Linked DNA regions of Callithrix jacchus. The protein of the gene in region 2 interacts with the protein of the main gene of each other region in a biochemical or structural test. Links are inferred from orthologs where the notes say so. Each region holds a gene or a part of one and is shown on either strand. Other genes may lie near its edges.

Region 1 (5,243 bases), on a different chromosome or scaffold from region 2:
ACAAGGTCGGGACAAGGAAGACCAGCTTGGCCAAGATGGTGAAACCCTGTCTCTACCAAAAATACAAAAATTAGCTGGGTGTGGTGGCAGGCGCCTGTAATCCCAGCTACTCAGGAAGCTGAGGCAGGAGAATCACTTGAACCTGGGGGGCGGACGTTGCAGTGAGCTGAGCAAGACTCTGTCTCAAAAAAAAAAAAAGGAGACAGAGTCTCACTCTGTCACTCAGGCTGGAGTGCGGTGATGTAGCTATGGTTCTCTGCAGCCTCAGACTCCGGGCTCAAATAATACTTCTGCCTCAGTCTCCCAAAATGCTGAGATTGTAGGCTGAAGCCACCATGTCTGGCCCAAGCTCATTTGTTTCTATTTGCATTCAGTGTAATGAGGTTTTGTTACTTTTTGAATTTTATTTGGGATAATATAAACTTTTACATGATTCAGAAGTCACAATGACACTGATTCAGCTAGGTCTCACTCCTGTGCCTGTACCCTCAACTTGTTCCCACTGCCCCATCCAGGGAGCCAGTTTCATTAGTTCTTGGTATGTCCTTCCCTAATCTCCCTTTCTTACCTAAAATCGCTCCATCACAGTGTTTGGAGCTCTTGTTTAGTCCATTTGGAGCTGGACAGTACTCCAGTGTGTGGGTGCACCATAGTTTATTCAATAAGTTCCCTGGTGATAGGGATCTGAGGGATTGTAGCCTTTGGCTGGTAAAAATAATGCTGTAGCAAATAATATCATGCATATGTTCTTTGAGATTTTTGGAGGTGTCTCTAGCATAGATTTCTAGAAAGCATTCCTTAGGTCACATTTAGGTTTATACTTTGACCTCATGGTGATTAGGGTATTCGGGAATGCAAATGAGAGTTTCGAAGAAGCCAGATCTTTTCCAGTAGTTCACTGTTTTTCTCTGACATCAGGACCGTCCAGGTTCCAAGGAGCAGCTGTGGCATTAGGCAGTGCCATGATGGATTGTGTGGAAGTACTGATTCCCGTCTGTCTGCTCTGTTGGCCCACTCTGCCGGTGGCTCCCCTTCTCTCCCTCCTTTATGGGGAACTGCCTAGGGGGCCATTCTCAGAGGCTGATCTTGGATGGGCCACAGGCCACACCTAGCTCCCCAGGGTTCTTTATCATTTCACATTGAGAGCTCTGTACTGGAACAGATTAGGGACCTCCACTTTACAATAAGTAAGACTGCTCTGTGGGTTGTAGGATGCCTCTTAATATGCAGTGACTCGGCAGCCACGCCTTGGCCCCTAAACTGCTGGAGGAAGTTACAGTTTGGGAGAAACTCAGGGGTGAGTTACAGTGGGGACAAGACATTCCCTCACTCTAAGACCTTGTCACTAGATTGGAGCTGCTCTTGCCTCCCTACACCTGACCTAACGGTTCTGGAGAGGTATGTCCTTGTAGCTTCTGACTCCCAGTGCCAACCAGCCTTCAGTAATTTCCCTACATCATTTGAGTCCTGGTTTCCCAAGGATGCTTGCCAGTGTGTGCCGTGGTGCCCTCACTGAACAGTCTGTGCAGTGTAGACAAGAGGGGGAGTCTCTTCGGGTAGACCAGCCACAAGACGGTGACCAGCACTGATGAACCACGTGGGACAGGGGAATTGTGGGGCTGAGAACCTGGAGCGCAGGATAGTCAGGCTCTTTTCCAGAATGAACTGCTAATGAAGGGACTCGCAGGTGGCTGCTGCTTTCCAAGCTGCCCCTGTTGTTGCTGAGACTCTGAAGTCCTAGGAGGTTTCATGGTGGCATACTAGACAGGTTAGTAAAGCATCATGGCCAGACACTGATTCTGGGGCCTGGGGCCTCACGGTGGCCATTTCTGAAGAGACCCTACCAGGCCAAAGTGATGTGCAGAGAAGGGAGCTGCTTCTGTCACCAGAAAAGAATGGGGAGGACTCCCATCCTAGAATAGGAAGGGTGCTCTTCTGCACCAGCAGGAACGGGACACATGGCTCTACCTGGACCACCCCTTTTTCCTTGCTCTTCCCTCTGCATCTGCTGTGGCTGAGGCTATTCCTTGTCAGGGAATGTCTTGTGTTAAAGGCTCACGCCACCTGGGAGCACTTCTCTTATCACCCCAGAACCTGGGTGGCAGTTTCTTGTGACCTGAGTTAGCCATTATTTTTATAGTGCCATTGTACCTTTTCTCCCATGATGCTCACACTAAGGATGCCCAGATGGGTTTACCCATTGTCAAGATAAGGAAACGGAGGCACAGAAGGCTGAGGTCATTTGCTGGGGTTCATGTTTGGAAACTGGCAAAGGATTTGAGTGCAGTTTGGCTCCAAACCTGTGCTTTCCGTAACACTATGGTGTGCCTCATTGAGGATTTATTCTAGAAAACCAAAAAGACGCCCAAGCCCTGGCCTTCACAAAGGAGACCCCCACCCCCATTTGACTCCCTTTCCAGCATTTGACAGTCTCTTGTCAGGCATCGAGCCCAGAGGCCTGTGAGGTGCGACTCATGCTGGGGTGGGATGCTCAGGAGCCACGCAGTGATTCTGCTCAGAGGAAAGGGCTCCGACTCTTCTGCAATGCCAGGAGTGAAACTTGCAGGTGGCCACAGTGCAGGTCGGCCACGCCGGCCAGCACCACCAGGGCCCAAGTTCCTAAAGAAATATTTGGGTCCCAGCTTGGCCTGAGGCCCTGTTGTCCTGGAGAAGGACATCAAGATCTGAGTGTATGATGGACCAGGGCCTTGCATGTGGTGAGCGTCCAAGCCTGCCACTGCTCATTTGTTCTGCAGACTAGCATGTTCTTTGTGATACTTACATACTTGTTTAACACTTCAGGGAAGAAAAGTCAGAAGACCAGGATCTCCAGGGCCTCAAGGACAAGCCCCTCAAGTTCAAAAAGGTGAAGAAAGATAAGAAAGAAGACAAAGAGGGCAAGCATGAGCCCGTGCAGCCATCAGCGCACCACTCTGCCGAGCCCGCAGAGGCAGGCAAAGCGGAGACGTCAGAAGGGTCAGGCTCCGCCCCAGCCGTGCCAGAAGCTTCTGCCTCCCCCAAACAGCGGCGCTCCATCATCCGTGACCGGGGACCCATGTATGATGACCCCACCCTACCTGAAGGCTGGACACGGAAGCTTAAGCAAAGGAAATCTGGCCGCTCTGCTGGGAAGTATGATGTGTATTTGATTAAGTAAGTAAGAGCAACTCCTGTCTCTACAGGGCAGGGAGGGCAGAGACGGGGATCTCTCATGGAGCAGGAAAATGTAGTGCCTAACCCCACAACGGGGGTGGGGGGACCATAAACAGTGAACACCAAGAGCAGGTATGCTTGAAATGACTGTGTGCAGAGGTCAATGTCCTCTATCCTCTCCGCGCCTCGAGTTCTTATCTGGAGATGGAATAGCTGCAGAAGCAGAGGAACTTGCAGAGCCAGGGGTTCTGAGGAGGAGTGAAGAAGCATATTTCTGTTGTGCCCCTTAAATGATCCCAAAAAGGTTAGCAGTTTTCACATGACATTGGCAGATAGCCTCATTTAATTCCATAACCCTGAGAAGAGTGAGCAAAGGATTATCTTGTTGAAACTGATTCCCAGAGAGTTTGAGCACCATACCCGAGTTCAGAATTAGGAATGTTCTAGATGGTGACTCAGGCCCAGGAATGTTCCAGATGGTGACTCAGGCCCAGGCACCAAGCAGCAGAATGGGCCTCAGTCCAACAGCCCCTCTGTACCAGGCCTGACTCTTTGGTTGCTGGACTTTGGAGAGGCCTGGGGAGTCAGGGGCAGGGAGATGAGTGAGTGTCTTTGGTGACAGACAGATCCTCAGGGGCAGCTAGGCAGTGTGATTCTTGTTCAATAGTAACATTTATCAGAGCGTTGTCACCACCATCCGCTCTGCCCTATCTCTGACATTGCCATGGGGAACCTCTAATTGTTTTTTGTGTCTTTCCATTTGTCCTCACAGTCCCCAGGGAAAAGCCTTTCGCTCTAAAGTGGAATTGATTGCATACTTCGAAAAGGTAGGCGACACATCCCTGGACCCTAATGATTTTGACTTCACGGTAACTGGGAGAGGGAGCCCCTCCCGGCGAGAGCAGAAACCACCTAAGAAGCCCAAATCTCCCAAAGCTCCAGGAACTGGCAGAGGCCGGGGACGCCCCAAAGGGAGCGGCACAACGAGACCCAAGGCGGCCACGTCAGAGGGTGTGCAGGTGAAAAGGGTCCTGGAGAAAAGCCCTGGGAAGCTCCTCGTCAAGATGCCTTTCCAAACTTCGCCAGGGGGCAAGGCTGAGGGGGGTGGGGCCACCACATCCACCCAGGTTATGGTGATCAAACGCCCTGGCAGGAAGCGAAAAGCCGAGGCCGACCCTCAGGCCATTCCCAAGAAACGGGGCCGAAAGCCAGGGAGTGTGGTGGCAGCCGCTGCTGCCGAGGCCAAAAAGAAAGCCGTGAAGGAGTCTTCTATCCGATCTGTGCAGGAGACCGTACTCCCCATCAAGAAGCGCAAGACCCGGGAGACGGTCAGCATCGAGGTCAAGGAAGTGGTGAAGCCCCTGCTGGTGTCCACCCTCGGTGAGAAGAGTGGGAAGGGACTGAAGACCTGTAAGAGCCCAGGGCGGAAAAGCAAGGAGAGCAGCCCCAAGGGGCGCAGCAGCAGCGCCTCCTCGCCCCCCAAGAAGGAGCACCACCACCATCACCACCACTCAGAGTCCCCAAAGGCCCCCGTGCCACTGCTCCCACCCCTGCCCCCACCCCCACCTGAGCCCGAGAGCTCCGAGGACCCCACCAGCCCCCCTGAGCCCCAGGACTTGAGCAGCAGCGTCTGCAAAGAGGAGAAGATGCCCAGAGGAGGCTCGCTGGAGAGCGACGGCTGCCCCAAGGAGCCAGCTAAGACTCAGCCCGCGGTCGCTACCGCCGCCACGGCCGCAGAAAAGTACAAACACCGAGGGGAGGGAGAGCGCAAAGACATTGTTTCATCCTCCATGCCAAGGCCAAACAGAGAGGAGCCTGTGGACAGCCGGACGCCCGTGACCGAGAGAGTTAGCTGACTTTACGCAGAGCGGATTGCAAAGCAAACCAACAAGAATAAAGGCAGCTGTTGTCTCTTCTCCTTATGGGTAGGGCTCTGACAAAGCTTCCCGATTAACTGAAATAAAAAATATTTTTTTTTCTTTCAGTAAACTTAGAGTTTCGTGGCTTCAGGGTGGGAGTAGTTGGAGCATTGGGGATGTTTTTCTTACCGACAAGCACAGTCAGGTTGAAGACCTAACCAGGGCCGGAAG
Region 2 (5,878 bases):
GGGCCTAAGACAGGACGCAGCGCGGAGCTCATCAGCAGACCCCCCCACATCCTAGGATTTGAATACGAAAGGCAGCCCACCCTGGAGGACGCCCTTACAAAAAAATGAGAGAATGAGAACTCATCGTCCCCATCTAGTTAGTTTACATTCTACATACAGCGTCCTCGTAAACACAAATACCCGGAGCAGCTGGCAATTCTTTTCAGCCAAGTAGAATACAGAACTAAGGTCTGGAGACCTAAGCAGAGAAATTACTCCAGGGGTATTCAGCCCACTCTCTAGAGCTGAAGATGCAGTCCTAGGAGGGCGGAGATAACCAAAAGAGAGGCGGGCCCTAACAGCCACCGCCCTGGCAAGCCTCCGGAGGGCGGAGCGTGAGGCACAAGTACTCACGATCTCCCCGGTGGATCTGGAGGCATCCTAAGAACTGAGAAAGGAGAGGAAAAGATTAAAACAGGCCACGGTATAAATTAACTTTGGGGTCATGTCACACTCAGAGAAAAGATAAAACTTCCGTAGTTGGGGACATAAAACGGCTGTTCACCTTCTCCTTGGCCAAGAGTGTTAATGGCAGTCCCTGTGCCCTCTCTGGTGTAGGTAACAGTGCCTCGAACACACAGTGAGACAAAGTGCTTTTAATTCCTAGTCTGCTTTTATTTATTCACCAAATAAAGCGTGGGCCTGAGCTGACTTCACTTTGAGGGGACACTCTCCCAGCGTCAGGAGAGGGGGCGGGATTAGGTTTTTACCGCACTCCAGAGGAAGCCGAATCCTCCTCCCAAGGGACAGGCACGGCGAACCCACTCCTGGGTCCAACTCTGTTCTCCCTCTGCAATCAGTGGAAATGGCCAGGAAAGAGCTCTGGCAGCAGGTGGGCCTGACTCCAGTGATGGCTTCGAGCCACAAAACCACGACAGCGAATTGTGAAGTTCAAGGGGAGTCGACAGGTGGGAGCAGCCTCGCCAGTAGCCAAGCCCTGTCCCGGAACGGAGCTCTAAAAATAAGACCAACGAAGCGACCCCTGGGCCAAACTGCTGGGATGCTAGGAGGAAGTGGCACTCCAGCAGAACCGACCCAAAACTCCTAACTTTGCGCCCCCTTCCACCACTAAACTGAGTATCACGGGGCAGGCTCACCATGGTATCAAAAACTACTCAGAACCCAAGCCAGCATTAGGCCGCTCACGACTTCCCGTGACCACAGGGTACTACCTGCGCTGGATCTCGCCAAAGGGTCCCAGGCCAGCGCTCTAGGTTGTCAAGAATCTTAGACACAGCCAACTAAGGACGGCAGCTACCTGCCTAGGGAAGAACAAACGCTTTCAGCGTCTACAGAGTTCTCAGTTTAAGCTCAGGGAAGTCAAGGGGCGCGGAAATAGACAAGCCACAGGGTCAGAACTTCAGTACTTGGCCCCGGCCACGAAGTGCAGATCTCAACCCCTGCAGAACCTCCGGAGCTTCGCTACCGAAATCCACTCCTCACTGTAATCCCCTGGCTTCACCCCGAAGGCTACCAAGTCTAGAGCCTCGGTGGAACCTTTGTGTGGCTTCTCGGCTATCCCCGCCCCCCTCGCCAAGGGCGCCGAGCCTAGGACTTCCGGGCGGGAGGGCAGTTCGAAGGAGCGAGGCGGGCCTCACACATGTGCCGAGCGCGCTCAAGAGCGAAGGGAGGAGGCGGGGAACAAGAGTGGACTTCCCACTCCAAGCTCGCAAAGCCGGAGGAGGCCGGGCTACTCGTCCCACCAATCAGAGGCGGGGGCGGGACCCTGCGCCTCTTGTCAGCGGCAGGAACCCTCCCTCCTCCCTCCGCGGAAAAAAAATCCTAGCAACTTAAACTCCAGCCCGGCCTCCCGATAGGCGGAGCTCGGGAGAATGCCATCCAATCCACTTCCGAGAAGGAGGAAAAAAGGGGGTCTCACCCAGCCAGTGGAAGACAAGAGAAGGCGGGGCCCCCGGGCGAGCCCGAGGTAGGTGGGAGAGAGGAAACGGACCCGCCCCTCAGCTCCCCTCCAGGCGGGTTGCACAAGCCGCCGGTGGAGTAGATAGTAAACAGTCTGGGTCGAGGAGTGTTGGCAGGGGCCGCCTGGCGCTCGGTGGACGGGAGCCCCTGCGCCGCCTCTCCCGGCGTTGCCCCGCCCGGCCGGGACGGTTCGCGCCGGCGCTCCGCCTACCCGCTCACGGCCGCCATCCCGGCTGACAGGCGCGCCCCCCGCGCCCCTCCCGCCCGCTGATGCATTTCCTTTTCCCGATTCCGAGCGTGGAGACTGTTTTCCCAGTTTCCGACCTTCACTGCCCCTTTCAGGCCACCCCCTCGTGGGCGCGCACACGCCCGCGCCCCCGCCCCATCCGCGCGGAGCGGCCCGCAGTGGCACCTCGCGGGAAGGGGGAGCCCGGCGGCGGCACGGCCGGGGGAGGGGAAAAGAGCAGCAGTCGCCGCCGCCGCCGCCTTGGGGTGGGCGGGGAAGCAGGCAGCTCCATGTTTGCAAGGAGATCAGCCGGGGCCGCGGGGCGAAGCCGCCGAGTTCCTGGGGGTTTTCCCCACCACCGGTGCGAGCTCCTCGCCGGCTCGCGGCCTGCCGGGTTCTGGCACCGAATGCTGATGACCGCTACGGCCGGGGAGTTCGGAGCCTCGGCAGCTCGCGGGGTTAGCGGCGAGGCGCAGCGGCTCTTTCCGGTGGCCTCTCCCGCCCCCGGCTACCCCTCCCGCAAGTCCGGTGTTGCCCCCGCCCCCCGAGTCCATAACAACCGCGGGCCCACTGTGCCCGCGCCTCTCCAGAGCGCGCCCACCGCCCCCTCCGACAAGTTTGCAGGCAGAAACAAAACCCTCGGGGCGGCTGCCGCCCTTGCTCAGCGTGGGTAGTCGGGAAAGCCGCGGGCCCCGGCTCGCTCGCTAACTCCAGCTCTCAAGCAACTCCGGGCGCCGCAAGCTCAATGGGCCCTGCCGACCATGCTCGAGCCGCCGCCCCCTGCCGAGCCTGCAAGCCGCAACCCGGGCCCGGTTCTAGTCGGCGTGTGGAATCCCCCTTTTCCTTCCTAATGTTTTTCTTTTTTTGAAAAAGGCACAACAGGAGCGGGGGTCTCCTGCCCGCCCCTTCTCCAGTACGCCGCCAAAACCTACCAAAACCGACTGCTCGGTGAGATAAACTAAGCGGCACTGCCGGCGCAGGGACGACCCAGGCCGGACCGACCCCCTCCCCACGGCTCCGGCCCGGCTCGAAACACACACACAGGCGAGCGGGCGGCGCCAAGAGCTCTCCTTCCTGGCCTGTCCCTCGCCTACCTCGGCCGCGGGACTCCGAGCCTCCCCTCAGCTCGGTCCCAGGGCCCGTGGGGCTCACACCACGTCGGGCCGGCCAGACCGAGCGGCCGGGGGATTAGCCCCCCAAACGACTGAGATTGGGGGGACCAAATTAAAAGCAGCTGTTTAACATACCTTCCGAGCCAGGCGAGGAGTCCTGAATGGGGGGGAACGCCCCCCACGGGCCATTGGCTCCCCGGAGCTCACGTCAGTCACCCTGGGCCCGCCTCCGCCCTTCGCCCCGCCTCTTCCCCTTCATTGAATGCTCCCTCCTTCCAAAAAATATAAATAAATTTATTAAACTAAACGCTAGTGAGAGACGTATCCGTGGTAGAGGCCCTTATAGCTTCCACACCGCCGACTGGAGTTTCTTGAGGTCCTCGGACTGGAAGGAGGCCTTCTGGGACTCGGAGATCTTCAGGGTGGATGCGGATGATGAGCCAGCCGGGCTACCCGGCCCCAACTTCCTTCACACACACAACCTATTTGGAGCTAGACAGTATAGGAGGTAGGTGCACCCTAGGCACTGGCTGAGGTGGGCAGACTCCTCTGGCTGTGTGACCTAACCGTGTCCGGTCCACTCTGTTAGGTAGACCTAAAAGCGAGTAACGCAAACGGGAAGCCCTGCTTCCGCGGGCAGCAGGCACTTGTCCCTACTGTGGGTGAGGCAGACATTCATACTGCATCTGCTGCTAGGTGCAGTTACAGACTGGGTGACGTGCTTACTCTACCCCTCCAAGGGCTCCAGATTCAGCCGAGGAGAGTCTACGTAAGGCACTAAGGCAAGGCAGGAATGTGTATGTAAATAGACATCCATAGGAGCTCAGAGAAGAGAGATTCCTTCTGCTGAAGGAAAATTGGTTTCATGGAGGAGGTGGCATTCAAGTTGGGTCTTAAAGATTTCATCAAGCAGAATTGGAGGGGCAGGTCATTGTCAGCAAAGGACACAAAGGGGTAAATGCAAAAAAATGACCTTCATATGTGGCTATAGCCATAAAAAAGGGTTGGGGGTGTGGAAATGGAACCACTTTACAACTTTTAGTTGGGTGAAATTCTTGGATGTGCACAGCCGAATATGCAGGCAGCACCGTCACAGGCCCACAACTATAGTGTAAGATGTTTGGCACCCTGGCAGAAAGATGGGTTCTGACGGTGGACTGAGAAGTGCCTATAAGCAGCAAGGGGAGGCCCAGAGGCTGTTGTAATACTGCGTTTGGAGACTACAGAAGTGCCTCTTGTGGAAGGAATAGCTGGGGGAAGAGAAGGCTTCTTTTCTCTATCCCAGCCACCCAGTCTGAAAGCTCTCCCCACCTTCAGCAGCCTGCAAGTCAAAGCTTTGACTCAGATCTTTCCTTGCATCATTTGCTTTATTTATCATAACTTCCCACCAAAAGGAGTTTCTGGGGGACACAAGCCACCCAACATGTCTGTGTTCCAGAGAGATGAGCCTACCTAGACCCACGGCACACAATGTGAAAAAAATACCTGTTTGTTGAGGCACTAAGAAAAAGGAAGTTAATGTGGATAAGGTGGGGTGTGCAGAATGTGAAGGACCTTGGAGTCCAGTGGGAAGAATGGGGGCCTGCTGCCTGTTAGGAAATTACTGGAAAATCTGTCCCAACAATTCAGGTGACAGGTAAGGAGGAATGACCAGAACAGTGACAATGGGTGAGAAGAATATTGAAGGACAGCTGTATTTGAGAAAGACTCAAGGGGAGTGGGTGAGTGATTCAGTGTGGGTAGGAGAGGGAAAGAGGTAGCCTGTGGCCTGCTGTGTGAAGAGATGATAGAGCTTGAGGCTACTAGTTAGGTAATCTGGGTCCTACACTTAGCATGGTCAGTGACTGGTGTTACAGTCTGTCTCTTCCTCCCTCTGAGCCTCAGTTTCCCTATGAAATGGGGGTGGAAATTGAAATAGAAAGAGAGGCTCTAAGGACCTCACTTAGAATCCAGGTGGGGAAAGCTTGCCATTGAGGAAACAGGGCAGGTGGAAAGAACTATTGATTTTGGAAGTGCAGTAGGTCCCCCCAAGTGGAGTCTAGAGACTAGAATATGCGCAGTAGCTGAGTTGGTTGAAATCACTGGGTGAAAGGTATGGAGAGGGAAAGGACAGGAGAAAAGGACTATGTGTTCAGTGGGAGATCCACACTGGCAGAGCCATGGAGGTTGAGATTCATCCTCCCTAGGGTGAGGATGAAGTTTTCCTTCAGAACAGAGATTCCAGCTGGACAACACAGCAAGACCCTGTCTCTACAAAATATTTAAAAATTAGTCATGCATGGGCCAGGCACAGTGGCTCATGCTTGTAATCCCAGCACTTTGGGAGGCCGAGGTGGGCAGATCACCTGAGGTCAGGAGTTCAAGACAAGCCTGGCCAACATGGCAAAACCCCATCTCTACTAAAAATACAAAAAAATAGCTGGGTGTGGTGGCAGGCACCTGTAATCCCAGCTACTCAGGATACTGAGGCAAGAGAATTGCTTGAACCCGGGCAGCAGAGGATACAGTGAGCTAAGATCACGCCACTGCACTCCAGCCTGGGCAACAAGAGCAAAACTCCATCTCAAAAAAGAAAAAAAAA
Region 3 (5,243 bases), on a different chromosome or scaffold from region 2:
CTCCTCCTCCTCCTCTTTCTCCTCCTCCTCCTCCTCCTCTTTCTCCTCCTCCCCACTGTGGACCGAGGAGCCCTGTGAGTCAGGAATTCTGTGGTACTCTCTCTCAACCTGGGTTTTCTTGCTGAGCTCACCACTTCTGGGGTCCCCAGTGTGACTCAGCAACTTCCTGCCTTGCCCAGCTTCCCTCAGCCCAGGCGGGCTGGTGGGCTGACGGGCGGGCAGGTGGGTGGGGTGTCCTCTTCTCCAGGTGAGGGCCCCTCTAGAGAAAGACATCCACAGCCTTCCCTTGGATCATAAACCCTCCATGGGACTGAAGAGGGGGCCACTGTAGGGACTGTTGTTTGTTTGGTAGGACATTAGATATTTAGCTGTGATGCTTTTCCATTTTGGAAGCAGCGCAGCAGGAATCCTGCTCACGATGGGGCTGGACTAGGGTGGGGTATTCGATTTGTTTTGTGTTCTCAGAAGGCTGAGGGTAGGAGGGCTCTGGAGTCAGAGGCAGCTGTCCCACTAGGGAAGTGGAGAAGGATGGAGACACCGCTAGGTCCCTGAGGGGCGGGGACTCCCCTGGGACTTGGAGGACAGGAGTCAAGGGGAGGCTGGGAACAAAGAGCTGGGGGGGAGGGGCCTCGAGGCTCTCCGAGACCACCAGGGGACACCCAGATGTGGCAGAGCAGAGGAAGCAGCAGGTGGGCTGAGTGGTGGGAAGAGAAACAGACCCCTTCCTCTCCCCAGTTGGCCTCCAGCAAACTGGAGTTGCCATTTTGAGCAACTACCCAGCCCAGCCCCATCTGCAGCCCCATTTGAGCAACTAGTGACGCTGCCCAGCCCCATCTTCCCTCCCTTCATCTTCTGGGGGGCTGGGGGAGGAAGGTCGGCAGAGACTGTGTGGCTCTTACCAGAGGACCGCTCACCTGCTTCTTAGCCTCCGTTTCTGGATACATAAAGGAAGGACTGGGTGGAGGGAGGAGAAAAATCTGCCGCCATTTGAGTGAACGACATACCCCACCCCATAGCAGAAAATCAGGCAAACCTCCAGCCGGGAGGGGAGGGTGGAGGCCCCCAGAGGAGGGGCAGTGGCTTGGCATCCAGGTCATCTGGAGCCCAGAGAGAATCCAAGGCCAAAAAGCTATCAGGTTTCCTTTCTCTTCTCTTTTTTTTTCTTTTCCTTTTTTTCTTTTTCACAGTCCTTCCTTGACTTCATCTTGCTCCAACTCTTCTTTCCTGGCTCCCTGCTTGGCTCCACCGCCACGGGCCCCGCTTCACACGTAGCACAGGTAGAGGTACGTCTTCTCTATCCTCCAGTCGGGCGGGATCTCCTCGGGCTTGTGGCCCTTCATGTGCTTCTGCATGGAGGAGAGGCTGGGGCAGTACTCGGTGCAGATGGTGCACTGGTAGGGCGAGGCGCCGTTGTGTGTTCTCAGGTGCTTGATCATGGCCGAGTAGTCCCGGGAGCGCTGGTGGCAGAGCTTACACTCAAAGGGCTTCTCACCTGAGGGTAGGGAGATGGGGCAGGAGAAAGTGAGGACAGACAGAGGGCAGTGAGGGCCCCAAGTCATCCTCGGGGGTGCCGGAGAAGCTGGGCTCCTGCAGCAGGGATTACTCCAACAGAACTTCCTGGGACAACCAAGGTACCACCCCAGATGGCAGCCACCAGTTACACACGGCTGTGAACGAGGCTGGTTCGACCGGGGCTCTACAGTTTTCCAATTTTTATTTCATGGTAACTAATTAAATAGCTACACGTAGCTAGTTTGCCCAGCTCCTTGTCTTACTATTCTACTTGTCTTACTAATAATCTACTGGATTGCCCAGCTCCTTATCTTACTATTCTCAACTCTCCCGAGGCCAAAGTCTTTCCCTTTCTAATTAAGAAAATGGATGTCTAGAAGGAGAAAGGTCCCAAAGTCCTCAGGAATGGCTCTTCAAGCCACAAGCCACAGTTCCATCCAGGGAGTAGGTGGATCAAGACCTTTCAGGGCTACAGATGGTGGGGAGCAGAGGTGGGGGGAAACTGAGGGAACCCCGAGTGTCCCCTTCAAGTATGCTACACCTGGGGACATGTATCCTGCTAAAGCTGTTTCTTTTGAGACAAAGTCTCACTCTGTTGTCCAGGCTTGAAAGCAGTGGTACAATCTCAGCTCACCGCAACCTCCGCCTCCCAGGTTCAAGCGATCCCCTGCCTCAGCCTACCAAGTAGCTGGGATCACAGGTGCCACCACCACGCCGGCCTGATTTTTGTATTTTTAGTAGAGACAGGTTTTCACCATGTTGGCCAGGCTGGGCTTGAACTCCTGACCTCCTGACCTCAAATGATCTGCCTGCCTCGGCCTCCCAAAGTCCTGGGATTACAGGTGTGAGCGACTGCACCCAGCCTATCCTGCTAAAAACTCTAGACCTTGCCCTGCAGACCCTGCATCCCTCCTGAGGCTGGAATTGGGGGTAGAGCGGGATGGGAGGAATAAAGACCCTGGGAGTGCACAGCCACACCCTAGCCTTCTATACCCCAACTTTCCTTCCACAGAGTCCCCTGGAGGCGAGCAGAGGATGTAAGAGAACCTTGTTTCAATACAGTAATTAACTGGCCAGCCATCTCGCTATCAATACTCCTCCACGCACAGGCCCCAGCAAATAATGAAGTAATGAACAGCCAAAGTGATCTAACTATCGACCAGCTATTTACAATAGTCACTGCCAATACAGTTAATGATCCACCTGCCAGGTCACATCCCTGACAAGGGGCTAGGGAAACCCCAGGGCTCTGGGAAATCCTCTGGGTCACTGTAGTTGTCAGCAATGGACACCTCACCCTCTCCTTGTGGGCTCAAACTGGGGCAAGAATACTGAGCTCTGACAACACACAGCTCTGCTTACTGCTCCTTCGGTCTACCCTTCCCCTCTAAAGGCAATGTACTCTCCCCTAAGCCAGCAGGACCTGCCTGAGGCCACCTCTCCTCCTTCCTCTGGACAGGACAGCTGTCTCCCCTGATCAGAGGGGGCATCTTTGTTTTCCAAGTTCCACCACCTCTTATTCTTCTGTGAATCATCCTTCCCCACAACCAGCAGTGTGCTGGTGGTAAATGTTTAACAACTGGCTTTCCAAAAAGCCCTGGTTTGTAGCATCTGCCAATTGCAATGATGTGACGACTCCTCCCAGGGCCAATTTTGAGCAACCAAGGTGAGGTCACCGAACTTGAAGTTGTGAAGAAATCTGAAAAATTAGCTTTCACAAAGCACGTGCAGCTCCAGGACTCCACTGCCCCCAGCTTGGGAAACTGTGGAAGACCCTCTGCTTATTTTGTCTTCTGACCTCAGGAAAAAGAGTAGCCTATATTTCTTTGTCCAATATAAAGAAGATGTAGCCAGGTGCAGTGGCTCACACTTGAAATCCTAGTACTTTGGGAGGCTGAGGTGGGTAGATCACTTGAGGTCAGGAGCTTGAGACCAGCCTGACCAACATGGCGAAACCCTGTCTCTACTAAAAAAATACAAAATTAGCTGGGCATGGTGGCACATGCCTGTAATCCCAGGTAATTGGGAGGCTGAGGCAGGAGAATCGCTTGAACCTGGGGGGTGGAGGTTGCAGTGAGCTGAGATTGTGCCATTACACTCCAGCCTGGGCAACAAGAGTAAAAGTTTTTAAAAAAAAGAATGTAAAGGCACTCTGAAATGGTAAAACCTCATATGCATACAGGGATTATTAAATGTATCTGCTCCTCTAATCTCAGAACCAAACACGAGCTCACTTTACAATTTCCCGACCTTCATAATAACCTAATTCAATGCACCCTAATTCTTACTCCAACTGAAATTACCCTAACCTTCACTTTCAGCTAAGTGCTCACATACAGACATCATTTTGCATGTCACCTCTGAACCACTGGTATAGCTGCCTGGAGGGCTGGCAGGATCTCATTGGAAAGTGTGCTGGGATTGATTAGTAATGTCTGCCTTGGCCTTGACTGGGGTGTGATGGTCCTCAGGCCACCATACCAGCCCTTAATAGAACCTCTTCTACTCTTTGGTTCAGCCTGGGATCATTCTCACTTAGGCTTCTCCGACAGACCATCGGTTTTCCACCTCCACCCAGGTCTGAGAGCCAGCTCAGGCCCCTCCCTGGCCCTCAGTACCTGTGTGCACCCTATAGTGCGTCTCCAGCTGATGCTTGAGGCTGAACTTCTTGCCGCAGCCATTGCACTCGTAGGGTTTCTCACCCGTGTGGATGCGTTTGTGGCTCTTGAGTGTGCTCTCATCCCGGAAGCAGCTGCCACAGAACTCACACTCATAGGGGTGGTCACCTGTGGGGACAAGGGGCTGGATCAGGTCTTTGCCGTTCCTTGCCCCCTCTTCAGGAGACAGTAGGGCACATTCAGTGCATGAGAGGAATGAGACAACCTGTATTTGCCACCTCCAAAGACAACTTAAAGATCCACACCTCCACTGAATAAACAAGCAATACCTGTGTTCACATGTGTCCATACTTTACTGTGGCCCCGTGATCATCTGTGGGGCAAGGGCCAGTCCTGGGAAAAGAGAGCCCATTTGGTTCAGGGATGGACAGCAGCCCCCAGAAAGCATGCCCCCATGTGGATACATACAGCAGGCCTCAGGGCTTTGAGACCTCACCATCCTGCTTCTTAGATGACCTCTTCTCACGTTCCTCTAGGTTAAGGGTGAAAATCACTCCAGTCTGACTCCGCCTGGAGTCAAAGAAATCTCTCCAATTTGGGGAACTTCACGTTGTCTCCCAAATACCTTCAACAGTCCCCAATTTCTTACGTAGCTGTTTTCTCTGCTCAATTTCTTTTCTCCCTGGTGAACTCCTAATCATCCTTCAAAGCCCAGTTCATACCCCTGTGTGGACTTCCCTTTAGTTCCCCAGGCCAAATGACTCACACTTTCCTCTGTGTCCCCACAGAGAAGAAATGCCCAGAATTTCGTTCTTTTAATAGTGTGGTATAATTTGTACGGGACTTTTGCATTAAAATAGCCCACATTTCCTGAGCACTCAGATGTGTGATGTGATCGTATCAGGTGATCATGGCAACAACCTTAAATAAAGATATTATTCTCATCATATAGTTGAAGAAAGATGAGATGCTTGGAGATGCTTCAACATCATCCCAGTGAAACAGCAAGTAAGGAGCTGAGTTGGGATTCAGGTTTGGGTTTGGCTCCAGAGTCAGGGTACCACATATTTGTCAGCTTGTTGACACACTGTGCTGCATCTACTGGCTTGCCCA

The links.
Region 1: the proteins of SIN3A (region 2) and MECP2 form a complex in vitro, tested with the Homo sapiens proteins (2 studies listed by BioGRID). The link is inferred for Callithrix jacchus from reciprocal best matches to the Homo sapiens genes SIN3A and MECP2.
Region 3: the proteins of SIN3A (region 2) and ZBTB16 form a complex in vitro, tested with the Homo sapiens proteins (3 studies listed by BioGRID). The link is inferred for Callithrix jacchus from reciprocal best matches to the Homo sapiens genes SIN3A and ZBTB16.

What each region holds. Positions count from the first base shown.
Region 1 is NC_133524.1:149,944,430-149,949,672, reverse strand, and holds part of MECP2 (methyl-CpG-binding protein 2), read left to right. Parts: intron 1-2,802; coding exon 2,803-3,153; intron 3,154-3,925; coding exon 3,926-5,009; 3' UTR 5,010-5,243. UniProt on the Homo sapiens protein: Chromosomal protein that binds to methylated DNA. It can bind specifically to a single methyl-CpG pair. It is not influenced by sequences flanking the methyl-CpGs.
Region 2 is NC_133509.1:22,402,220-22,408,097, reverse strand, and holds the start of SIN3A (paired amphipathic helix protein Sin3a), read right to left. Parts: upstream 3,461-5,878; 5' UTR 3,280-3,460; intron 1-3,279. UniProt on the Homo sapiens protein: Acts as a transcriptional repressor. Corepressor for REST. Interacts with MXI1 to repress MYC responsive genes and antagonize MYC oncogenic activities. Also interacts with MXD1-MAX heterodimers to repress transcription by tethering SIN3A to DNA.
Region 3 is NC_133511.1:13,929,040-13,934,282, reverse strand, and holds part of ZBTB16 (zinc finger and BTB domain-containing protein 16), read right to left. Parts: intron 4,299-5,243; coding exon 4,131-4,298; intron 1,493-4,130; coding exon 1,263-1,492; 3' UTR 1-1,262. UniProt on the Homo sapiens protein: Acts as a transcriptional repressor. Transcriptional repression may be mediated through recruitment of histone deacetylases to target promoters. May play a role in myeloid maturation and in the development and/or maintenance of other differentiated tissues.